Linked DNA regions of Ovis aries. The protein of the gene in region 1 purifies or fractionates together with the protein of each later gene. This does not show direct contact. Links are inferred from orthologs where the notes say so. Each region holds a gene or a part of one and is shown on either strand. Other genes may lie near its edges. The genes, in order: RANBP6 and ARMCX3.

Region 1 (12,907 bases):
GAATATTCATTGGAAAGACTGATGCCGAAATTCCAATATTTTTGCCACCTGATGCAAAGAACCAACTCACTGGAAAAGACCCTGACACTGGGAAAGGTTGAGAACATGAGGAAAAAGGGGTGACAGAGATGGCATCATTGACCCAATGGACATAAGTCTGAGCAAACGCTAGGAGTTGGTGAAGGACAGGGAAGTCTGGCGTGCTGCAGCCCATGGGGTCGCAGAGTCAGACATGACTTAGCGACTGAACAACAACAATTGCATGTAAATTATACCTTAATAAACCTGATTTTAAATAAAAATATGTTATAGTTGTGCTCCCTATTGCATCACTTAATGCCTGATATATGAATGAGCCAAGGTCCAGGTGGAAAAATGGAAACCACACTAATTACTTGAAGAGGAGATTTAAGAGGTTGGTTACATAGGTGTGAGAGACCTGAAGGAGTGAATAAACAGCACTGATGTAATAAAAAATGGTAACTGAAGGACCTGCTACCATCCCTAAAGCTGAAGGAACAAAATAGAACTGGCATCTTTGAGCTCAGAGCTCCAGGTGAAACCTCAGAGGAATGAGTGCCCCCAGGTTACTGTGGGTATCTCTGCAGAAACAGGAAGCGATTGGATTAAGAGGAAATTACTGTTACCAGGAGGAGGGGCCACTGCTGGGGCAATCCAGACAAGAAAAGGAAAAACAAGAAGGAGCAATCTCTTTTCTGTCTCTTTTCTGGTGGAAACTCTGAGGGACCACGCTAAGAAAGGAGAAATTTTGCTTCCAGAGCCCAGCCTCAGCATCAGAGAACAAATTAGAGAAAATTTGAATGCGAAACCAAAAGATAACACATAAATGAAACTTCTGGTTTATCCCACTTTTAATAATACTAAGATCAGGAACTTCAGATGGTTTCAGCCTAATCCTTCTATTATCAAATCCCAATCAATGTTTCATTAATGGTTTTAGCATCCACTGGTTATTGCTGCCTACATTCATTATTTCATTTGGGTTACAACACAGTAATTTTCTGATTTTAGCATTTTTGTGCACTTTTTATATGGAATTCTATAGAGAAGAATGTGAATAACTGTTAGGTTTTCCTGAAATACAGTTTATACAGAAAAGGCAGGAAAAATTGTGATTATTATTAATTTTCAGTTGCTGACCTAGCATCCAAAGATGACCAATGAGTTGTGACTTTTGTTAGTATTAGACACTTGGAACTTTTGCTGATTATATTTAAAGTCTTTTTAATTCATCAGAAGCATTATTCTTTCTGATATTCTGATTGTTTTAATTTAGGTTGGTAGGAGCCTTCATAGTATTTTTTGTTTTCTATATTTTTATTTATTATGGATTATTCTTGCAAAACTGTCAAGAATGTCCAATTTAATTCTACTTCCTCCCACTTGATTCTAAATCTCTCAGATCTTGGAAGAAATTTGCAACTTACTTTTCACCTTTCTTTGCTTAGCAAGGTGCTAATAAATACTTGAATCGTCCACTTCTGAGCCACCTTACACCTTACGGAAATATTTTTAAATGCCCTCTCAACAGTGCAAACAAATTTAAAATCCAATTTTAATTACAAAGTTTAATAAAGTTCTTTAACCAAATATTCAAGTCCATTCTTGAAATCTTGAATATTTGTGTGCTCCTTAGGGGGTGAGGGGGTAGGAAATAACACTGCAAAAGGTAAATAGAATTGAATTATGCAATCTAGAGAGGAAGTACTTTAAGATTTTAAATCTGTGTATGTTCTTCTAAACTAAGAACATAAATATTTTTCCTAAAATGGATTCCATTTAGCTCTTACCTTTGTAACAATGACCATCACTATGGAGTGTGGGAGCAACTAGAGAACAAAATATGGATTTGGGGACTCATCTTCTTAAGGAAGACCTACTCCAGTATTCTTGGGCTTCCCTTGTTGCTTAACTGGTAAATAATCTGCCTGCAATGTGGGAGACCTGGGCTTGATCCCTGGGTTGGGAAGATCCCCTGGAGAATGGAAAGGCTACCCTATCCAGTATTTTGGCCTGGAAAATTCCATAGACTATAGTTCATGGGGTCGCAAAGAGACGGACATGACTCTCACTTTTGCTTTCACTAGATACTGGAGAGTTTTGATAAGACTGGGAGTAACTCCATCTTTGTTCATAAAATGTCACTGAGTACCACCTGGTACATAGCCAGGACTTCCCTAGTGGCTCAGACAGTAAAGAATTTGCATGAAATCTAAAGACCTGGGTCTGACACCTGGGTTGGGAAGGTCCCCTGGAGAAGGGAATGACAACCCACTCCTGTATTCTTGCTTGGGAAATTCCATGGACAGAGGAGCTGTTGGGCTACAGTCCATGGGGTCACAAAGAGTTGGACATAACTGAGGGATTAACACTTTCATTTGTTAGGGAATTCTTCCAGAAAGAGTTAGCAGTCTTTTGGTCTGCATTAATACTGTTCTTTCCTCATGTGTGGGTAAAGAAACAGGTAAATTACAGCATCTCCAACCAGATGCCCAGGTCAAAACTTAGGAAGATTTCCTAGGCTGCTTCTTCCCATGTAAGGTGTTATTGATATGACTTCTTTCAACCTATCTAGTCCTTGCCCTCTTTTCTTTCCTTCCACCACTGCAATGATTTAGACTTTCAGTTTAACTGAACTAAGGTGTGTGTGTGCTCGGTCCTGTCCAACTCTTTGTGACCCTGTAGACTGTAGACTGCCAGGAACCTCTGTCCATGAAAATTTCCAGGCATGAATACTGGAGCAGGTTGCCGTTTTCTACTCCAGGGGATCTTACCGACCCAGGGATCAAACTCATGTTCCCTACGTCTCCTGCATTGGCAGGTGGATTCTTTACCATTCTGCTGCCTGGAAAACCCTAAATGCCTCCAATCTTCACACTTCAGTTTTTGCATTGCTATCAAAGTAATATTTCTAAATGTGGATCATTTCACAGCACTTGATTAAAATCCTTAAACTGCTCCTCTTTACCTTTGGGGGAAAAAAGCCAAATTTCTTAACATGGAATATGAGACCCTTCATGATCTGGCTTCTATAGAACTTCTGTCTTCCTCCTTCCTGCCTCTTATGTCATCCCAAGCCCCCTCAAGTCACATACCCAATGCTCCAGCAAGAAATACTGGCAGAACTCATCACACTAGGCTCTAAGACCTTTCCACATTTGAACACAGCTGTTCCCTTTACTTAGAAACTTCTTCTCTTTATTCAAATAGTGAATAAAGATTTATCCTTTAAAAGCCAGCCCTGGTATCACCACCTTTGGGAAGCCTTGCCTGATTTCCCTTAGCTGCCTCCACAAACTCACGTGGTTGCATCACCACAGTGATCACTACACTAAATGGTATTTGCTGTCTCTCATGGCATCCTCATGTATTTAATGTTTATCCCCAGCACACAGCACCATACTTGAGTATACCCTCAATGAACGTGTGCTGAGAAAATAAATGAATAACTGCGTAATGTTAACCCAGCATTTTCCAAACATTTTTTACAGAGTGGTTCTACCAACTCACTTAAACTACCACCAAAAGTATCATTGAGTTTCCTATTATTCCATATTTTCACTGTCACTTGATATTCTTAGACTTAAATTTAAAACATTGTATTGGGCCTGTGGTGGTATCTCATTCTAGTTTTTGTGTCTTTAATATGCTAACAGATATGGTTTTAAGACAAGCTTTTTCCCCCCAACATGTAATAGTTATTAAGATTTTCTGAAAGAGTGAATGCAAAGGCCCTATAATTAGACTTTTCCAAAGAATGGTGGGAAAGCCATTGACTCTGGAGCAAGATGCAGAACTGTAGTCAAGATCTTGGAATCAGAACCAACACTGATTTCAGCAGTGGTTCTCAAATTTTTGTATTCACATGAAAACCCAGTGTCCTTGTTAAAATTGAACATTCTTAGGTTGTATCACCCAGAAATTCTGATTCAGTAGTTCAGAGATTGAGCCCTAATATCTACATTTTAAAATAAGTTTCTCAAGTGATTCTGATGCAGTTGACTTTCAGTCCACAGAATAAAAAGCACTGTTTAGAGAATAAGGTTTTTTCCTAAACGAGCATTTGTTGTTGTTGTTTTTGTTGTTGTTTAGTCACTAAGTCGTGTCTGACTCTTTGTGACTCTGCTGCCTGTAGCCCACCAGGCTCCTTTGTCCATTGGATTTCCCAGGCAAGAATACTGGAGTGAGTTGCCATTTCCTTTTCAAAGGAATCTTCCTGACCCAGGGATCAAACCTGCATCTCCTGCATTGGCAGGCAGATTCTTTATTGATGAACTACCAGGAACAAAATTAAAGTTCAGCCAACTCAGAGAAGTTTAAAATATACCATGCAATAAGCGAAAACGTCTGATTGTATTGCAAAATCAAGAGTAATTATGGGGAAGTGGTATGGTGAAGAGCATCAGTGTTGCTTTCAGAAGAGGTAGATTGGAGACTCAGGGTGCGTCATCTTAGGCAAATCCCTTAACCTTCCTGAGTTTCCATTTCTCACCTAAAATTAGTATTATATCTATTCTACCAATCTTGCAAACCTGTGTAATGGTTAAAATGATAGATTGGCAAGGCCCATACAAAAGTAAGATCTAATCATTGTTAAAGTAATGATGATTTTTTTAATATATAATTTTATTTATGTATTTTACTAATTATTTTTGGCTGTGCTGGGTCTTCCTTGCTGTGCAGGCTTTTCTCTCATTGCAGCAAGCAGGGTCTACTCTTTGTTGCAGTGGGCAGGCTTCTCATTGAACTGGCTTATCTTGTTGCAGAGCACTAGGCTCTAGACACACAGGCTTCAGTAGTTGGATTTGTGGGCTCAGTAGTTGCAGTTCCTATTTACCAGGCTCTAGAAGACAATGGCACTCCACTCCAGTACTCTTGCTTGGAAAATCCCATGGATGGAGGAGCCTGGTAGGCTGCAGTCCATGAGGTCGCTAAGAGTCAGACACGACTGAGCAACTTCACTTTCAGTTTTCACTTTCATGCATTGGAGAAGGAAATGGAAACCCACTCCAGTGTTCTTGCCTGGAGAATCCCAGGGACGGCGGAGCCTGGTGGGCTGCCGTCTATGGGGTCACACAGAGTCGGACATGATTGAAGCGACCTAGCAGCAGCAGCAGAGTACAGCTCAATAGTTGTAGCACAAGGGCTTAGTTGCTCCACAGCATGTGGCATCTTCTAGGACCAGAGATCAAAATTGTGCCCCCTGCATTGGCAGGTGGATTATTTACCGCTGAGCCCGTGTAATTAATGAGCCTGGTAATTGCAGGGAAGCAACCCTTTCTGAATTAAAGAAACAATATTTAGCCTCAGGGGCATTTATTTCTTAGAATAACCTCAGCTGCTCTCTAGGAAAAGGAAAACTGTAAAAACATTTTAAGTTTGCAAAAAAAAAAAAAAAACTTCAGTGACAAGACCAGGGATTCAAATCAATTTTGAGACAAGACCAGAATTCTAATCTTACTAACCCACGTTACTTTTCATCATACATTACTCAAATACCTTTCTCATTCTTTATTATAATCCACAGAGCAAGTGATTCCAACACACACCTGAATCTGAGCACCTCTGCTCTACTGCATTAGATATAATAGTGGGTGCTAATCATTGTCTTTATCTTTTATTGTACTTATTTGATAAAAAGCTTTATTGAGGTATTATCCACATGCAATACAATTCACCAAACTAAATTGTACAATTCAATGGTTTGAGTATAATCACAGAGTCGTGCAGCTATCTCCACTATCAATTTCACATTTTCATCACCCAGAAAGAACTTTCCTGACAGCAGTTATTCTCTATTCTCTCTTCCCCTCAGCCATTGCCAAACACTAATCTACTTTCTGTATGGATTTTCCACTTTAGACCTTTCATATAAAAGGAATCATAAAACATGTAGCCTTTCGTGATTGTCTTCTTTCACTTAGATTTTCAAGGCGTACGCTCTGTTTTAAAATTATCAGTGTAACAACCGTAGATATAGTTTAGAAATAGAAGACGAAAAAACCCATAATCCCATTCTAATAGTCATTATCATACTTTTATTTTTTCCTCTCTATAGGTGCATTTTCATTTTATTGGAAATCAGATGGAGAGCGACCCTCGCTCCCACCACGACCCCATGAGTCCCGCGCCACCGGCCTCCCGGCCTCCCAAAGCCCGGACCAAGACGAGCCACGGCAGGGGAGGAAGTGGCCCCGCCCCGCCCCTCCGCGCCGGCGCCTCGCTGATGTCACTGCTCCGGGACGCAGACCCCCGCCCTCCTTCCCCGTCGCGGTTGCTTTGACAGAACGCGATGGCGGCGTCCGGGTCTGCCGGAGTACCGGCGACCGTGTCGGGAAAGCAAGAGTTTTACCAGCTTCTGAAGAACCTGATCAATCCAAGCTGTATGGTGCGGCGGCAGGCAGAGGAAATCTATGAAAATATCCCAGGTCTGTGTAAGACTACATTCCTCTTAGATGCCGTCAGAAATAGAAGAGCAGGTTATGAGGTGAGACAAATGGCTGCCGCCCTGCTACGACGGCTTTTGTCCTCTGGGTTTGAGGAAGTCTATCCAAATTTGCCTTCTGATGTTCAGAGGGACGTCAAGATTGAACTGATACTGGCTGTTAAGTTAGAAACACATGCTAGTATGAGGAAAAAACTTTGTGACATTTTTGCAGTCCTGGCCAGGAATTTGATAGATGAGGATGGCACTAACCACTGGCCTGAAGGTCTGAAGTTCCTTGTTGATTCAATCTACTCTAAAAATGTGGTTCTATGGGAAGTTGCACTTCACGTTTTCTGGCACTTTCCAGGGATTTTTGGGAACCAGGAGCGGCACGATTTGGATATCATCAAAAGGTTGTTGGACCAGTGTATTCAAGATCAAGAACATCCAGCAATCAGGACATTATCTGCTAGAGCTGCAGCTGCATTTGTACTTGCTAATGAGAATAATATTGGTCTTTTCAAAGACTTTGCAGACTTGCTTCCTGGAATCTTACAGGCTGTGAATGATTCATGCTACCAGGATGATGATTCAGTGCTAGAATCCCTTGTCGAGATTGCAGATACTGTACCTAAATATTTGGGTCCTTATTTAGAAGATACTCTGCAACTGAGTCTAAAGTTATGTGGAGACTCTAGACTTAGTAATCTGCAACGCCAGCTGGCACTTGAAGTAATAGTGACCTTGTCTGAAACTGCCACCCCAATGTTGAAAAAACATACAAATATTATTGCACAGGCAGTTCCTCATATATTAGCAATGATGGTTGATCTACAAGATGACGAGGACTGGGTAAATGCTGATGAAATGGAAGAAGATGATTTTGACAGCAATGCAGTTGCTGCTGAGAGTGCATTAGACAGACTGGCTTGTGGGCTCGGTGGAAAACTTGTTTTACCAATGACTAAGGAGCATATCATGCAGATGCTGCAGAGCCCTGACTGGAAATACCGACATGCTGGATTAATGGCCTTATCTGCTATTGGAGAAGGATGCCATCAGCAAATGGAATCAATTTTAGATGAAACAGTTAACTCTGTTTTGCTTTTTCTTCAGGATCCTCATCCAAGGGTGAGGGCTGCAGCCTGTACTACACTTGGACAGATGGCTACAGATTTTGCACCTAACTTCCAAAAGAAATTCCATGAAACTGTGATTGCAGCTCTGTTGCGTACTATGGAAAATCAAGGTAATCAGCGTGTACAGTCACATGCAGCTTCTGCGCTTATTATTTTTATTGAAGACTGTCCCAAATCATTGCTGGTTCTATATTTGGATAGTATGGTAAGAAATCTACATTCCATCTTGGTGATTAAACTTCAAGAGTTGATTCGCAATGGAACTAAGTTGGCCTTAGAACAGCTTGTGACAACCATTGCCTCAGTTGCAGATACAATAGAAGAAAAATTTGTACCATACTATGATATATTTATGCCCTCACTAAAGCATACTGTTGAGCTTGCTGTTCAAAAGGAACTCAAACTTCTGAAAGGAAAGACTATTGAATGCATTAGCCATGTTGGTCTTGCTGTTGGTAAGGAAAAATTTATGCAAGATGCATCAAATGTGATGCAGTTATTGTTGAAGACACAATCAGAGTTAAATAATATGGAAGATGATGACCCTCAGACCTCTTACATGGTTTCAGCATGGGCTAGAATGTGTAAAATTCTTGGAAGTGATTTTCAACAGTACCTTCCACTGGTTATTGAGCCTCTTATTAAGACTGCTTCAGCTAAACCTGACGTTGCTCTCTTAGACACACAAGATGTGGAGAATATGAGTGATGATGATGGATGGCAATTTGTAAATCTTGGAGACCAGCAAAGTTTTGGAATTAAAACTTCAGGACTTGAAGCAAAAGCAACTGCTTGCCAGATGTTGGTTTATTATGCTAAGGAGTTAAGAGAAGGATTTATGGACTATACAGAACAAGTTGTAAAACTGATGGTTCCTTTACTGAAATTTTATTTCCATGACAATGTTCGAGTGGCAGCTGCAGAGTCCTTGCCTTTTCTCCTGGAATGTGCAAGAATTCGGGGGCCAGAGTATCTTGCACAGATGTGGCAGTTCATATGTGATCCCTTAATCAAGGCTATTGGGACTGAACCTGATACAGATGTACTCTCAGAAATAATGAATTCTTTTGCAAAATCCATTGAAGTAATGGGAGATGGGTGCCTTAATGATGAACACTTGGAAGAACTGGGAGAAATACTGAAAGCAAAACTTGAAGGGCACTTTAAAAACCAAGAACTAAGACAGGTCAAAAGACAGGAAGAAAACTATGATCAACAGGTTGAAATGTCTCTGCAAGATGAGGATGAATGTGATGTTTATATTCTGACCAAAGTATCAGATATTTTGCACTCCTTATTTAGTACTTACAAGGAAAAGATTTTACCGTGGTTTGAACAGCTACTTCCATTAATTGTAAATCTAATTTGTTCTAATAGGCCATGGCCAGACAGACAGTGGGGATTGTGCATATTTGATGATATCATAGAGCACTGCAGTCCAACTTCATTTAAATATGTTGAATATTTTCGGTGGCCAATGCTACTAAATATGCGTGACAACAACCCTGAAGTCAGGCAAGCTGCTGCTTATGGCCTGGGTGTTATGGCACAGTATGGTGGAGATGATTATCGTTCTTTATGTTCAGAAGCTGTTCCGCTGCTGGTAAAAGTTATTAAGTGTGCAAATTCCAAAACCAAAAAAAATGTCATTGCTACAGAGAACTGTATCTCAGCAGTAGGGAAGATTTTGAGGTTTAAGCCTAACTGTGTAAATGTAGATGAAGTTCTTCCACACTGGTTGTCATGGCTTCCGCTGCATGAGGATAAAGAGGAAGCTATTCAGACTTTGAGTTTTCTCTGTGACTTAATTGAAAGTAACCACCCAGTTGTACTTGGTCCAAATAATTCCAATCTTCCAAAAATAATTAGTATAATTGCAGAAGGAAAAATTAACGAGACTATTAACTATGAAGATCCTTGTGCCAAACGCCTAGCTAATGTTGTACGTCAGGTACAGACTTCTGAAGAATTATGGTTGGAATGCATTTCCCATCTTGATGATGAGCAGCAGGAAGCCTTACAGGAACTGCTAAATTTTGCTTGAAGCACTTTAATATTACTTGAATATCATCCCCCATAAAAGCAACTCCAACTAAGTGTTGTGAGTGGATTCTATTATGATTGAGAGAGCTGTTCTCTTCCTGCTGAGCAGTTTATATTCCTTCCCAGTGTTTCTCCATGATTAGTCAGTGTTATAGCCTCTGTTTACCTTGCATGTTTTATCAAATACAGACCTTGGTGATAACCTGTGCTTCTGTTGTCTTAAAATGTTTGTCACCTTTCCTCTATTTGATGTGAAGTATGTACATTGTTGCTATTTGTCTAAATTCCTGATGCTGGGCAAGCAGTGTGCTTGGTGTCAGGGTGTCCTGCTGCCTAACACAAGATGTTAAGAGTGCACAAAGATGGGATAGAAGAACTTCCAGGACAAACTCTTTGGAATTGAGTGAAGAATATAGTGGCAGGCTTATTCCTCCTTTATGATACTCCTAGATTTCATAGTAATGGGAGGATGCTGGTATTGGAAAAGTTTTGAGATACTGCAGTGGATGTGGGGAGTTTTCTCCATAATACATAAGAACTTTTTAATAATGTCCTCCTGAGGCTGAGACATATCCATATGCTGCTTCCCAAGGTGTCCAGCTGATAGTTACTTAGCCAGATCAGTCTGTCTATTTTAACTTAACCAGGACTCTTAAGGACCACAGTTACTGTAAAGGGTATCCTGGTACATCTAACATTGGTAGCATATAACATACTGTAATACAGTATTTGACAAAGAGTAAATGATTATTTGTGGGAGTCAATCACTGTTACGTGTTTGAGCAGAATATTGCATTGTGTATGTAAGCCATTTTTCCCTGCAAAGCAGTTCAACAAGAGAAGCCCTGATTCAAAATGGGGCTTAAATAGATTTCTATTTTGAAGAAACTCAGTTGTTTAGTAGCATTAAAGAGAATTCAATTGTGATCATGAAAGGGAAGCAAAATTAATCTTTAAACATGAAAAAGAAAACAGCTTTGAGATGACCAGTCATTTAGCAGTGTGAATTCTAAGAAAGCAGTTCTATAAATTTGGGGTAACATATTAATTACAATGTTGGTCTTTAATCTCAGGCTTTTTGTAGGGTAGAAAAAAAAGCTTTCTACTCAGCAAATTATTGATCCAAAATTTAAGAACAAATACATCTGTAATGGATTTCCTTGGGCTGTTATGAGTACTGTGTATGTATTTAGTGAGTATTTAAGACCTAGTAAGTGCTTAATAAATGGTAGCTGTTACTGCTGTTGGTGTTTGTACCTCTTCTGTGTTCTTTTTTATGGTCTGGAATTCCTTTTATATTAAAATCTCCCTGTTTCCCCTCCTACCAGTTCATGACCAGGCCATCTAGGCCACTGTGGACAGAGATACGAAATTGAGATTTTAAATATGCAATTCCTATACATTCCCTGTAGTTATTTATTGTTAATGAGGGGAAAGAAAGAAAAGGACATTGGTTGGGGTATAGTCATTATTTTAATAAGATTAAATTTAAAAGTATAGATGAATAAATAGAAAAACCCCACCACAAAGTATTAATAGAGGTTTTCTATGGATGGTGGGATTGAAAGGCAGTTTTTCTTCTCATTGATCTATATTTTTTAAAAGTTCAAGGACCTGATTCTACTTTCGTAATAGTTAAGATCGAAGTTAATTGGCCTCTCAGTGACATGTAGCTAACTTTCCTGCTACTCATCCAGGTGTCTATTAATATTCTTTATTTAAGAAGCTTTTGGTAAACATTTCTACCAATTCCATATATTCTTGTGCATGAAAAATTGGAAAACCTACCATATGACTTGGAATTAGGCACCTGGAGAATTTTGAAGACAAACCTAGATTTGAATTTTGGCAAGCTGCTTTTTTAATCTAAACAGTTTTCCATCAGTGAAATAAACATAAGGCCTAGCTAATTGTGAGAATTAAAGAAGGTAATGAATATAAAGTGATCAGTGGCACAGGGTTCAATAAATGTAAGCTAATATTATCTGGGAGTCATGAAATATGGTTGGTGGCTAAAGAGAAGGAGGTGATATCTGATAGGATGGCTCCAGATTCTTAAGCTTTCTCAAAGGAAAGATGTCCAGTCAGACACATTTTTGGTTGCCAGTCCCTGAAGTAAGACTGGTCTGCCTTTGTTCCTGATTTAAAGTACATCTGTAGACCTGAGTTCGATTCCTTGGTTGGGAAGAAGGGAAAGGCTACCCACTCCAATATTGTGGCCTGGAGAATTCCATGGACTGTATAGTCCATAGGGTCCCAAAGAGTCCACACAGCTAAGCGACTTTCACTCATGGGCTAAGGAGAGAGAATGCTGTAAATGCCTAATAAATTACAAATGTCTGATGAGGTAAGAGGAGATCTAGATAAACTAGATGATGGGTGTGTGTTTGTGTGTGGGGGGTTGTCAATACCCTAAAACCTTAAAAGTGTCCCCATTTAACTCTTACCTAAGACTATCTAACATACTAGACACCCCCCAACCCGCAAAAAAAAAAGAAAAAGCTTTTTAGTTTCGAATTTTATCAGTGCTTTAAAGGTCCACATTGATGGGAAGTAAAACAGACTTAAAAGTCAATATATCGCAATCACTTTGTTACACATCTTTTAAAATTTTACTTTCTAAAATTTTGAAAGTAATTTGACGTTTCAAGCAAGAGCAGAAAAAGGAATATGTGCATCTTCGAAAAAGAACCTGAGAAAATACTATTATCTGCATTAAGGGACCGTTAGTTACTTTCTACTCATTTTTAATTTGAAATATTTGAAGACTAAGTCCCAAGGACTTTAAATGAGGTTCCATTCCCTTCCATGACTCTTCAGTTCAATTCAGTTTCAGTTCAGTCTAGTCGCTCAGTCGTGTCCGATTCTTTGCGACCCCATGAATCGCAGCACGTCAGGCCTCCCTGTCCATCACCAACTCCCGGAGTTCACTCAGACTCACATCCATCGAGTCAGTGATGCCATCCAGCCATTTCATCCTTAGTCGTCCCCTTCTCCTCCTGCCCCCAATCTCTCCCAGCATCAGGGTCTTTTCCAATGAGTCAACTCTTCACATGAGGTGGCCAAAGTACTGGAGCTTCAGCTTTAGCATCATTCCTTCCAAAGAAACCCCAGGGCTGATCTCCTTCAGAATGGACTGCTTGGATCTCCTTGCAGTCCAAGGGACCCTCAAGAGTCCTCCAACACCACAGTTCAAAAGCATCAATTCTTCGGCGCTCACCCTTCTTCACAGTCCAACTCTCACATCCATACATGACCACAGGAAAAACCACAGCCT
Region 2 (12,683 bases), on another chromosome or scaffold:
CCTTGGGCTCAGCTAACAATACTTTTCCCTGAATGAAAGGCTCCTTGGAGAGGCCAAGAGCACAACTGAAATTTTTAAAGCTCTGAGCACTCCAAGTATTTTTGTGTTCGTAAGGGAACGGGCGCTGTTTTACCAGGTATGTTCGACTGGCTTTGCCCCCACCTGAAGGTCTGTCCTCAGCACCGCCAGGTGCCCCAGGTTCAGTCCAGTGCCCATCCTCACTCCAGGGCCGTGCTGTAGTTGTCAAATCAAACCAAATCTCGTGCTCCTCGTCATCCAGTTCCCGCTCATCATCCCATTCCTCTTCCTCCTCCTCAGACTTCTCACTGTCATCTCTTCCTATGGTTAGTTTGTAAACGCAGTAGCAGGCACCAGCCCCAATCATCAGTCCTGCGGCCATCCAACCCACTTCCCGAGCCCGGCCCATGTTCAGGTCTGTTCAGCTGGGGGTGGGGGCGGGGGGTAGGACAGAACAGGAGAGGGTCTTGTTTCACCTGAAAGAAGAGGGTTCTTAAGGCCAGGGTGAGTGATGGTGGAGGGGAGACAGCTTCAGCCTATTCCAGGCTCCTGAGGCTCTCCTGTGATGAATCTATGGGTGAAAAATGATATTAGGGCTTTTTGCAATACCTGGATTTCTGCCTCACCAGACAGAGTGGAGTTTGAGTTTCGGCTGAGGGAAGTGGATTATTTGGCAATGAGTTCTTTGTTCTTTTCTGTCATCCTCTGTCTCCCCTCAGGACCCACCATTTGTCTCCCAGAGCCTACACAGAAGGGCGGGAGTTGGGGCTGGGCTATAACCGCCAGGAGGGTGACAGGTGGTCTCCTCCTCCACCACACCCCCAGCCCCAAAGACTTAGAGGCAGTCTCACCTACCAGCCTCTACCAAAGCCAGGTAAATTCCTTCTTCTTCTCTTGTCTTCTGTGCTCAGTGCTCCTTCCACAGTGATTGATGGACAGTCTGGCAGCAGGACAGAGGGAACGACAGATAGCCGGCTTTGGAAAACTACAGTGTAGTGGATGGATCAGAAATGAGAACACAGGTCCCTTTTCTGAATTTCCAGCCTTTGAGCTTAAAACATTTCTCACACCCTCCTGACTTTCCTAACACTGGTTTCCCCACCCCTCCCCCCTTGTCGTCCGCCATTTCCCCAGCAAAGGCCGCCACACCCCTTTCCCTGCGCTGAAATGGGAGGGGGTATGGAGGAAAGGGCCTGGAGAGGGCGGCTCAGACCCGGGCCTCAGCGATCCCAGCCTCCCGCCCTCATCCCCACCGCCACCCCCACCCAGGGGCCAAGGCTCATCCCACCTTCACAGCGACCTGCACGGTCCCAAGGCACTTTGGTCCTTCCCTCGCCGCGACTTTCCCCGGCGATCTACGGGCCAACAGATCTACAAACCTGCAGACAGACGGTGGGGGGTCGGGGGGAGACAGAGTGCTTGGTGGACGGAGCAGCACTCGGGACAGGAGTGTCCTGATCCTGAACCCTTTCTTTCCTCGGAGACTCTGTACCAGCCACTCACTTCCCTCACCCGCCGCCCGAAGTCCGCCAATTCCTTCCATGAAAATGGGCATGAGGAGGGGGACGGCAGTATTTAGAAAGTAGGCGAGAAGGGGACACAGACCCCTGTCTGCCGGAACCTGGATCCGTGGCGCTCTTGGCCTTCTCCCAGCCCCGTCTCCCTCCAAGCAGAGCCCACGCTCATACCGACCTGCAACGCCCGTGGCCACTTTCCTTCCTTCACGCGCCTGCAGAGTGATATAGGGGGCTGGTACCCAGACGGAGGCGACTAGCAGTACTTCTGGTCTAGGCAGCTCTGGTCACGTGACGACCGCGTCACCACTGAGCTCTGGCCCCCAATTTCCACTCCCACAAGCAGTGCGGCAGGCGCCAGCCTGCCCCGTACCTCCCCCCATCACAAGGGGCCTTGTTACTCTTTTCCTCTGTAACAATGCCAGAAGTGACCAGGGCTCTCTGTGTTTGCATTTGCTTTCTCTAATTACAGAAAAGGGCAACACTTTTCCTGGGTCTGTCATTTACTTACACTTCTTTTGAGGGGAATGTCTTACCCTTTCTTTGGCTCTGAAACTCCTGTCCCCTCTTTCTTCATTTCTACCCCTTCCCACATGCATTCTCTACACCAAAATTAAGCAGAGGGGCAGGAAATAAAAGCCCAAGTAACAGCGAGATTTTTGTTCCTATTTTTAATATATTCATATTCTATTTCTTCCATTCTTTCTTAATTGACTCAAGTTACTATTTTGTAGTCAGAAAATACAAATCCGTGTGTGTGTGTATAAAACAAAATTTCCTAGTTAATACGAAGACCTCATTGATTTAAGCTAATTTGTACATTGAAAACATTTTCTTCTGACTGCAGAGGAGATAGCAGCTTTCAAATAGCATATGAAACTATAAAAACATACCCTTACAAACAAAGCCAGTGTGCTTTTAATATGATTTATAAATTAATGGATAAAATGAATCTATAGTAAATTGGTCAGTGTTTTAATTGTGACCAGTTTAAAGAAGTGAACCACTATCCCTTTCTTCTTGGCTGAACTCATAGCGTTATGTGTTAGAGAACTGCTAGATGGCTTCCTTTCTGGTTTTGAAGGACAGACTCTCCGCAGACCCCAAATTCCAATGAATCTTATGTCTTCAGATGAAGCTTACAAATTAGTAACTTCAAAGATTAGCTTGCTCTTCATTCAAAGCTCTATTTAAAATCTATTCTCAAGTTTCATGGTGTAACCCATAAATCATCCAGAAATCAGAGGATTCCCTGCTATCCCATTGATGAAAATGATAGTGGAATTTTCGTTTGATCACGACACTGGTGAAAGACCTCCGGTATTTGTCATTTGTGCCCTGTCTGTCCCCTTGGTAGTGCCTGGTGTTCAGCCTTTTCCAGTGGAAATAATGGTGAGGGTCTGTGGGTGACTGTAAATCACTGCCACAACCTGACAGCCCTTGAGATCCGCTGCCTTTTCCCCTCACAAACGGCATAGGTCACGGGACCCCAAGCAGTGTTGCCAGGAAAAAGAGGCCTTTTCACCCTCTCCCTTCTGTTACAATTTCATTGTACCATCTATACAAGTCCCTCAGAATAATCCCAGAAGGTAGGGACAAAGTCTGCAGAACTTAGTTCCCAGACATCCAGCTGTCCCCGCCGGGGTGTCATGCTCTAAATATAAACCCTTCAGGCAGCCTCTTTCTTAGAACATTGAAATCTGACACCCCAGCAGGAAGCTCCCTGGGTGAGGGGCCCCTGTGTGGAGGAGGCCCTTTCAGGAGGTGAACCAGGAAGCCCAGAGTGCCTTGCTGGTGAAAAATTCACAAGTCAAGAACATGTCACAACTTTCTGGTCTTCCTTAAACATTTATAGTTCAAACATACCGACATTACAACTCATCTCTCTCTAAACCCCTAACTCATTTGTTTTGCCATCCTCTCCTTACCCTGTTCTTCTTATCATCCTTTATTTTACTTCTCCAAAGGAAGTGATTTATATTTACGAAGCCTTACTAACAGAACTTGCAGATTTCACTATCATTCTTTTGGCTGCTAAGAACTTAAAAAGTAGCTTTTATTTATCTTGAGTATATACATTAGAAAGAACTGCAGAGCATGTAAAACTTAAGAAATACAGGTGTCATTGACTTGCCTCTACAATAAGGACTCATTCCACAACTCTTACTTAGCCATGCTTCAGGGACAAAAGATCCGCTCCTACCTCTCCTCGTTAGTTACAAATCTCTCTCCCTTTTGGTATATTTTTCAATTTTTCCAGTGTATAACCCCTGACTACCACTCTCCCAGGCTGTCAGATCTTTCCTGTTTGGATCCACTCCCTCTCTTAAACTTCCTAAACCCCATGGGAATGATAACCCTGTCAATTCTCGTGGTCATTTTGATCCACAATTCCTACCAAGGAAGCTGGGGACTGACATATAAAATCTATTTTCCTTCCGTTATACACCCACCAACAAATATTTATTTAAGGGCATGCTATTTGCCTGACATACCATTTGAAAAGCAAAACGGGAAAATCCTTAAGCAATCCCTCAGACAAGTCTTCAAAAGACTATGTGAGTCCACTGTCAAAAAGAACCTCTTGGCTTAAATCAGCATATGGTCATATATGATGCATGATTTATAACATATTCAAAAACAGAAAAGGATCAGCAGACGGTAACACTGATAGAATTTTGGAGGGTAAGAAAAATAAATGATAGAAGATTGTTATCTTTAAAAGGTGTATTACTTTTTGTATCGTGTTGTTTCTGTGTTGTGTATTAGTTTTGTTTGATTGCAAGCAACAGAAAGCACATCTGTTTAACTTAAACAGTGAGGGCATTTCGAAGACCAGCATCAGCTCTGAGGTGTCAAGGTAGGAGGAACCGATAGATGGTCTCTTCAGGACGCCATAAACTTCCACTGATGTTTGGTTTTTCTATCTTTGCTCAGGTTTAAACTTCAGTAAGAGAGTAAGTATTCAGTTGGTTTGTTTTGGGCACAATGACCACCCTTTTGCTGTGGAAAATGACAGGGCATGTAAAATGTGAAATGCACTTCCTTTCTTTTCCCAGAGAGAACTGTAAACTGTTTCAGAGGTTATTGTTGATTTGCAGGAGCACTTTAACTACTTGGGATATGCATCTTTTGTCCAGTTGTGACTGAGGCGCTGGGGGTCTATCTGCCACAGCATGCTTTAGTTGTCACTGAGCATTAGAGAGGTGCACTTCTGAAATGGTGGTGCACTTCTGAAATGGTGGTGCACAAGGCTGCCTTCTAGGCCAAAGCCCCCTGACTTCCTTGACAGGATTCCACACGGTCGCATCGATAGTACAAAGTCTTGTGCTCAGCCCTTCAGGATCAACACCTGAATTTGTCTGTATAGTGAGAGCAGATGCCTGTATCAAATAAAGACTCTCATTCAGAGAGACATATATAAATCTATATCTGAATGCCCAAACCCACGGATCACTGCATTTCCTCTGTAAGACGGCCACAGGGAAGCTAAGTTTCACAACGAAATGACAACTGAAAAATTTATCCTGAGAAGTACAACCATCAGGGGTACTAGAGGTTTCTGTTAGTTTTACCAGCCCCTTCTCTCCCCGTTGGCAAGCTACTACTTGGGAAGCCACAACTTCAGAAGGTTGCGTGGTAAGCCTGCAATCAGAGAGCAAGGGCATCGGTGCACTTTAAGAAGTGGCTTTCATCTAAGAAACTTGAAGTACACTTACATATCATGGGGATGGCTCTGCCAAAGAAAGCTAATTTTTCCACGCATCTCAGCCAAGACTTCCTCTCCTCCAGACAGTGCTTGGGTGGGAACTATCAACACTTGCCTCTGACTCTTCTCTTCATAGACTCCTGTTTGAATAAGCCCCCTCGCTGCACATGATCTTTCTCTAAACACAGAATCATACAGTTGATTTGCTTTCTGCTTACTAACTTTCAGTCATATCCTGTTCATCTTCACCTTACACAGTCTTGTATATCAATTGTATCTCAATAAAAATGGAAGAAAAAATACATTTTAGTCATATCCTAGTACTATTTTTCAGAAGTTACATTGATATGAATTTCTCTGGAATTTTGCCTGTTCCCAAATTTCCCAGTCTCTTGATTTACTCCCATATTGTCTGTGGATCTTAAACTTTTTAGACTCAGATAACAACCTTATATCTTAACTATCAGGGCATATCACACTGTAGACCCTGTGTCATGACATTATTTCCTTATTTTTCCCACTCTTAAAAGTTCGCTCGTTGGTGACAGGTGACTTGTTGAATTCATCAATACAGTCAGTGAAAAGGTTTCACACTAATTGCTAGATGCTGAGTTCAGCCAGTTTTGACTTGGTCTAACACCTCTAACAACCTACTCCGTTTAAAAATGCTGTTGTCCATTTGTATTTTTTGTAATGTTCTTTGTATGTCGCTCACTTTGTCAGTGTGCATGCCTCCTATCTGACAGGCATCCGACATACTTGTGATTACCACTCAACCTTTTCTGTGTAGCTGGCTTCTGAGGGCTCCTGTGCCTTGCTAACTGATGAAAGTGAAAGTCTTGTTTAGAAGACTGGCTTAGTTAGAAGATTTATGTATTCTCAGACACTCTGATGAGCTTATTCAGGATTGTGTTATGTGCTAGGCCCCAGAAGACACTAAGATTGCTTTGAGTGAAGTGTGTAACACTCCCTACAAGTGAGAACATGTGGGACTTTTGGAGGCCATCACCCAACATCACTCTCCCACTCTTTTTTTTTTTTTTTTACCAAATGAAAATAGCTTTACAGCCATTTTTTTCCTCCTAAAAAGAATGCAGTCTGGGGGTGGGAAAGGGCAGAACTGAAAGAACAACAACAAAAAATAAAACAGTAAGTAAGGGAAAAACTGCATTCACTCCAGGTCTCCTTTTCTGGTGGCTTTTTCTTTTCAGATCTGGGACTAGATTTCAGAGGAAATGGTAGACATTTATAGCTGGGAGGCAGGGAGGTGGAAGGAGAGGTTACTGTCCCAGGAGTCCAGGGAAGGAAGAGGCAATTTTTCAAAAAGTACAAGTGGCCAGTAACCCCAGGGGAAGATGCTGTCCCTTTCTGGTAATCAGAGGAAGGCAAAGACAACTACAGGGAGATGGGATTAGGAAAGAAAAAAAAGAGTAACAAGGCCTGCCGTGGGGGAGGGAAGGGAGGGGGGCGGGCCCTCTTCTGCCGCACTGCTGGTGGGAGGGGAAATTGGGGACCAGAGTTGGTGGATGACGTAGGTCTCACGTGACCAAGAGCTGACGTGTGCAGAAGTCCTTCTTGTTCTGGTCGTTGTTCCCGTCTGAGTATCAGCTCCCCATTGCCCCGAGGGCCAGCGGGCCTGCAGCAGAGGAAAGAAGGAGGAGGAGAAGGAGATTGTCCCGGATCCGTGCAGGTCAGTGCCTGGGAGAGTCCAGAAGGTGGGGGTGGCTGAGGGTGCAGGGCGGAAACCGTCGCGGATCCTGGGGCGCCTCCGTCGTCTCTTCCACTCGCCGCCGGCTTTCCAAGACGTCTGTCCCGCCCGCAGCCCATTCTGATGCTGCGAAATGGTGAGCAGGGGGGTGTTTGGGAGGAGCTCAGAGATCGGGACGTGGGAATCTGGTGGGAACCGAGGCCGTAATCTGGAAAGGGAGCTGTACGCTGGGTGTTGGCCCCCAGTCCTCCAGGACGGTGCCAGAGGGGAAAGGCTGGACATGGGGAGGGGAGGTGCACCGTGATGTGTCAGCAGAACCCCGAGAAGGGTCGAAGGGGTGGAAACCTTTGACAGCCAGGCCTCCGAATTAAGGACAGAGTTTTCTGTTCTGGGGACCGGTCCGTCCACCAAGCACTAGGTCGCGGCAGTTTCCCGTCTTTCTTACTGTGACTGCGTCTTCCTGACCGTGGCTCTGTGTCTCGTGGATCCGAGCCTCTCCCGGGTTGCCAGTCTTTCCATAGGTTGCGGCACCACACCAGGCTAAAGAAGAGGAAGGAAATTAACCCCGATCCGTGAAGGTCGATTTGAGGGTAAGACCATCTAGAGACCCTAACGGGGGCGTTGGGAGGATGGGGTGGGGAGAAACCAGAGGTAGCGATAATCTAGGTTAGGTCTGAGTCTGAGTGTGTTTCTCACACTCTTGGGACTGTGGCGAAATGGCGTGCAGTGTGTGTGTGTGCGTGCGCGCGCGTGTGTCGTGGGGGGTGGGGTGGGGGAGAATGACAGAAGGGAAACCTATCAGATAGTTTGTTCGTAATCCTCTTCTCTCAACAGCACTTAGTCCCCATGTTTTCGATCTGTCATCCTGCAGGTCTGCTGTAGCAGGTGGCACCAGTTTAAACGAGGGAGGAAGTTTCCTCGGATCAGTAGAGGTCGGTTTGGGCATGGGGGCTGCCTGGAATGGGGGAGGGGTTGGAAATTGCCCACGGTTGGACAGGCTCACCCCATGTTATTTCCCCAACAACTCTCCATTTCAGGCTAGAGAAGCGGCAGGCATGTGCATGTTTTGGATGGCAGAGAGAGGTTGTCTTTTCTGTATTTTTTTTCTTAATCTGACAACCTAGATAGGTGAATCAGGAAAGCAACAAATGGAGGAGCAGTCAATCCATCAAGGCTTCAGTTCTCACTGGCTCTGGTCTCTCTGCAGATTGCAAGGGTTGTTGGGCGTGGCACATCTCCAGGGGAGGGAAGAAGGGGCAAACTGCCTGTCTGGAGGAGGTTAGTGCAATGGTGCCACTCCCTGGGAACATCCAAGGTTGGGGTAGCTGAGGCCCCAGCAGAGAGAATGCGCTCCACTGCCTTTATCTAGGCTTGGGGAGGAGGTGGGCTGGGGAGAGTGAAATGAGGGGGAAAGAGTTTGTTAATAATCTACATTTTCTACCAAGAACTCATTTGCTTGTCTCTCTGTACAACTCTCTGCAGAGGACAACTCAAGGAGAAGAGAAACTCAAACCCCGTTTTCTTTCTCCACCCCTAGGTCCACCTCCAGAATCAGTTGCCGTGGCCTTGAAGTGGCTGAAGACAATCATCCTCCACAGGCCTGCACCCAGGCCAGGCCCATAGCCCTCCTCCCCCAGCCTGAGTGACCACTCTGTTCCTTGGTCCCTGATACCATCAGGGACGATTGCATGGGCTACGCCAGGAAAGTAGGCTGGGTGACTGCGGGACTGGTGATTGGGGCTGGCGCCTGCTATTGCATTTATAGACTGACCAGAGGAAGAAAACAGAACAAGGAGAAAATGGCTGAGGGAGGGTCTGGGGATGTGGATGATGTTGGGGATTGTCCTGGGGCCAGGTACAATGACTGGTCTGATGATGATGATGACAACAGTGAGAACAAAGGTATAGTATGGTACCCACCTTGGGCCCGGATTGGGACTGAGGCTGGAACCAGAGCGAGGGCCAGGGCAAGGGCCAGGGCCACCCGGGCTCGTCGAGCTGTCCAGAAAAGGGCTTCCCCCAATTCTGATGATACTATTTTGTCCCCTCAAGAGCTGCAGAAAGTTCTTTGCTTGGTTGAGATGTCTGAAAAGCCTTATATTCTTGAAGCAGCTTTAATTGCTCTGGGTAACAATGCTGCTTATGCATTTAACAGAGATATTATTCGTGATCTGGGTGGTCTCCCAATTGTTGCAAAGATTCTCAATACTCGGGATCCCATAGTGAAGGAAAAGGCTTTAATTGTCCTAAATAACTTGAGTGTGAATGCTGAAAATCAGCGCAGGCTTAAGATATACATGAATCAAGTCTGTGATGACACAATCACTTCTCGATTGAACTCATCTGTGCAGCTGGCAGGTCTAAGATTGCTTACGAACATGACTGTTACTAATGAGTATCAGCACATGCTTGCTAATTCCATTTCAGACTTTTTCCGTTTATTTTCAGCAGGAAATGAAGAAACCAAATTTCAGGTCTTGAAACTCCTTTTGAATTTGGCTGAAAATCCAGCCATGACTAGAGAACTGCTCAGGGCCCAAGTACCATCCTCGCTGGGTTCCCTCTTTAACAAGAAGGAGAACAAAGAGGTGATTCTGAAGCTTCTGGTCATATTCGAGAACATAAACGACAATTTTAAATGGGAGGAAAATGAATCTACTCAGAATCAATTCAGCGAAGGTTCACTTTTTTCCTTTTTGAAAGAATTTCAGGTGTGTGCTGATAAGATTCTGGGGCTAGAAAGTCATCATGATATTTTGGTAAAAGTGAAAGTTGGAAAATTCGTGGCCAAACTGGCTGAGAATATGTTCCCAAAGAGCCAGGAATAAGTTCTTGATTTTGTAGTTTAGAAGCAACACATGTTGTAAACTATTCCTTTTCTCCACCTTGTCTATATGGTAAAGGAATCCTTTCAGCTGCCAGTTTTGAGTAATGAATATCATATTGTATCATCAATGCTGATATTTATCTGAGTTGGTCTGCAGGCCTAAGCTGGATGAATGAATATCACTACCTGTTCTGAAAATGTTTGTTGCTTTTTATCTCACTGCCTAGATTGAAATATTTTTACTATTTCTTCTGCATAAGTGACAGTGAACCAATTCCTCACAAATAAGCTCCCTCCTGTCATTTGCATTGACTGCATTTGTGTATCATCAATGAAGTTGTGTGTTAATGCTGGAAAGAAAAAAAAGAGAAACCATACTTATCTTTCGGTTTATAGTCTAGTTGGAGAGATAAGAAAACATACAAACAAAAAGAAAACAATATCTCAAGCATATACTCTTTGTTAAATACTCGCACTCAGAGCGCAGAGAAAGCAAAGGTTTCTGCAGGATACAGTAGTCAGCTACAGATTTATGGAGGAAGTGTTCATTTCAAATGAATCCTCAGTGGGGTAGGTAGTTAGGGAGTTCCATGTGATGGGAGTGAAGGGGGACTGGTGTGAGAAAGGCATGGAGGTAGGAACTCTTGCTGTGACAGTGAGGAGACTAGTCTGTTTAGAGTGGAAAGTGTGACTGGAAGTAAATAAATTTGGAAAGTTGGCTGAAGCCAGTTTGTGGAGAACTGTTGGAATATTACCTCACCGAACACTGAGAGCCAGTGAATAATTTTGACTAGAAAGAATAATTGGAATTCATATAGAAGTCCCTGTCTCACCTACTGTGCAGTGTCCATGAGAGTATGGCAGAAATGGAGCCTTTCACACCCTGGTGGTAGGAATTCGCTTACACTGGCACAAGGTTTGCAGAGGGCCATTTGGTAATACATATCATTAGCCTTAAAATATGTAATCCCTTTGTCCTAAGGAAATAGTTGAATCATTGGCCAAAGATTGTATGTACAAGGCTGTTTATCCCAGCACTGTGTGAAATAGTAAAAATTGAAAGCAAGTTAAACAATGTAGCACACTGGACTGGTTACATAAGTTAAGGAATATTCACATGGTGTAAGATAAATATGTCAATTGCAGTCCATATTGTCAGGGAATGATATTCATCATGCACTGTTAAGTGAGAAAGGTAGGTTAGATAGGAGTCTTCTTAGTATGATTCAGTTTTTCTGAGAATATAAGATATTTAAGTAGACACTAAAAACTCTGGAATTACAGACATCCAAATAGTAACAGTGATTGTCTTTGGGTGGAAGGATAGTATAATTTTTACCTTTTTACTTTTTATTCATCTATATGTTCTTATTAACCTAAAACAAATACTGATTTTTCAGAAGTTTTTGAAAAAGGAAAGTGTTGGGAATGGAGCAGGTGATTGATTGGAGCACGAACTGAGTAGAAAAAGTATTTACATTAAACATAAGATGGGTTGAAGTTTTCTCTCTGAAATAATAGATGAGTGCTAAAGATGGGGCTCGCTGAAAGAATTAAATGAAGTAATATATGTGAAATACTTAGAATTTTCTGGCACATAGCAATTAATTAAGAAAATTGAGCACACTTAGTTCCTTAGAATTCAGTGTCGATAGTTGTTCTGGTTGACCTTTGTGTTGCTGGGGGCATTCTGCCATGTGTCAGCATCATTTAATAAATAATAACAACAATAAAAGTTAGCATTTATTAAGTGACTACTGTGTAGAGTGATGTCATTCCTGCAAGGCAACTGTTAACAATAGTTTCTCAAAGAAATAGGCTTTTCTTTTTACTGTGTACTCGAGATGTTTTAGCAGACATGATCTCACCTGCCCTTACAATGTATTGTTGGTCAGTTTGGGGGTGTTATCCTACTTTATACATGAGGCCAGGAAAGGGTAAAATCTCTGTTCAGTTATGATCTGGTTTTAGCCCCAGGCTTCCATATACTTACTCAAATGTTGCCTACAATAGACAAAAGGACCAAGGACTGATCAGCTTGAAGTTGTTGGGTATGATGACTCTATTGAATCATGCTGGGGCTCCTTTGACATCAGTTTTAAGGGTGGAATGAGGGTAAAGGAATTAAAATTTTTTCTTGCTCTATTATTAGGTAGAAAACAGGATTTGGGAGGGAAAGCCTTATCCATTTAAAATAAACTAACTTTGAGATACCTGTGTGACATCTAGATGGATATACCCTAATGTCATTTGAGTCTATTGATGTGGTGCTCAGAAAAGACCAGGCTGCAGATATAGATTTGGGGGCCACCAGAGAAGAAATGATAACTAAGGACATGGGAGCGGATGTGATCCCCAGAGAGAAGGTGCAGAATGTAAGAGTAGAAAGCAGCATAAAGAACTGGAGAAGGGATTGTGGCAGCTGGGGAAAGAAGCATCAAATTCCAACTGTGGATACCCTTCCAGACACTATCTCAGTATACCTATATAGTCTACATCAAATTGGATGATACTGTAGATGAACTTTCAGAACCTGATTTAAATTTTGTCTACTTTTCTTCTAAAATGTACTCATTGGAGATACTTGAGAAAATAGAGGCAATAAGAACAAACTTGTTCCCTCACCCAGATCTGTATCGTGAACATCTAAAAGAATTCTGATCAAGCCACATTGAACTGGGGTGCTGAGTGACTTTTTGACCTGGGGTGGCAATGAAGTGAACTTGGGCAATAAAAAGCCACCCTGCAGCAGGGGTGCAGGCCTGACCAGTGTCCATCTGCTGCGCAGGTCTCTTTTCTCATCCTCTCCTCCCTTCCCATTCTCCTTCCCTTTCCCTCTTTCACACTTCTCTCTGATTTCCTCCTCTGAGAGACCATTGACAATAGTCTCTTTGTGCTTCTGTGTCT

The links.
Region 2: the proteins of RANBP6 (region 1) and ARMCX3 purify together in Homo sapiens (co-immunoprecipitation; 3 studies listed by BioGRID and IntAct, counting the BioPlex papers as one, with this or other methods). This does not show direct contact. The link is inferred for Ovis aries from reciprocal best matches to the Homo sapiens genes RANBP6 and ARMCX3.

The regions. Positions count from the first base shown.
Region 1 is NC_056055.1:74,172,537-74,185,443, reverse strand, and holds RANBP6 (ran-binding protein 6), read left to right. Parts: upstream 1-6,297; 5' UTR 6,298-6,313; coding exon 6,314-9,631; 3' UTR 9,632-10,872; downstream 10,873-12,907. UniProt on the Homo sapiens protein: May function in nuclear protein import as nuclear transport receptor.
Region 2 is NC_056080.1:133,253,290-133,265,972, forward strand, and holds the start of ARMCX3 (armadillo repeat-containing X-linked protein 3), read left to right. Parts: upstream 1-6,803; 5' UTR 6,804-7,085; intron 7,086-7,361; 5' UTR 7,362-7,539; intron 7,540-7,820; 5' UTR 7,821-7,881; intron 7,882-8,156; 5' UTR 8,157-8,227; intron 8,228-8,486; 5' UTR 8,487-8,637; coding exon 8,638-9,777; 3' UTR 9,778-12,683. Other genes in the region: protein ARMCX6, read right to left, coding at 1-427. UniProt on the Homo sapiens protein: Regulates mitochondrial aggregation and transport in axons in living neurons. May link mitochondria to the TRAK2-kinesin motor complex via its interaction with Miro and TRAK2.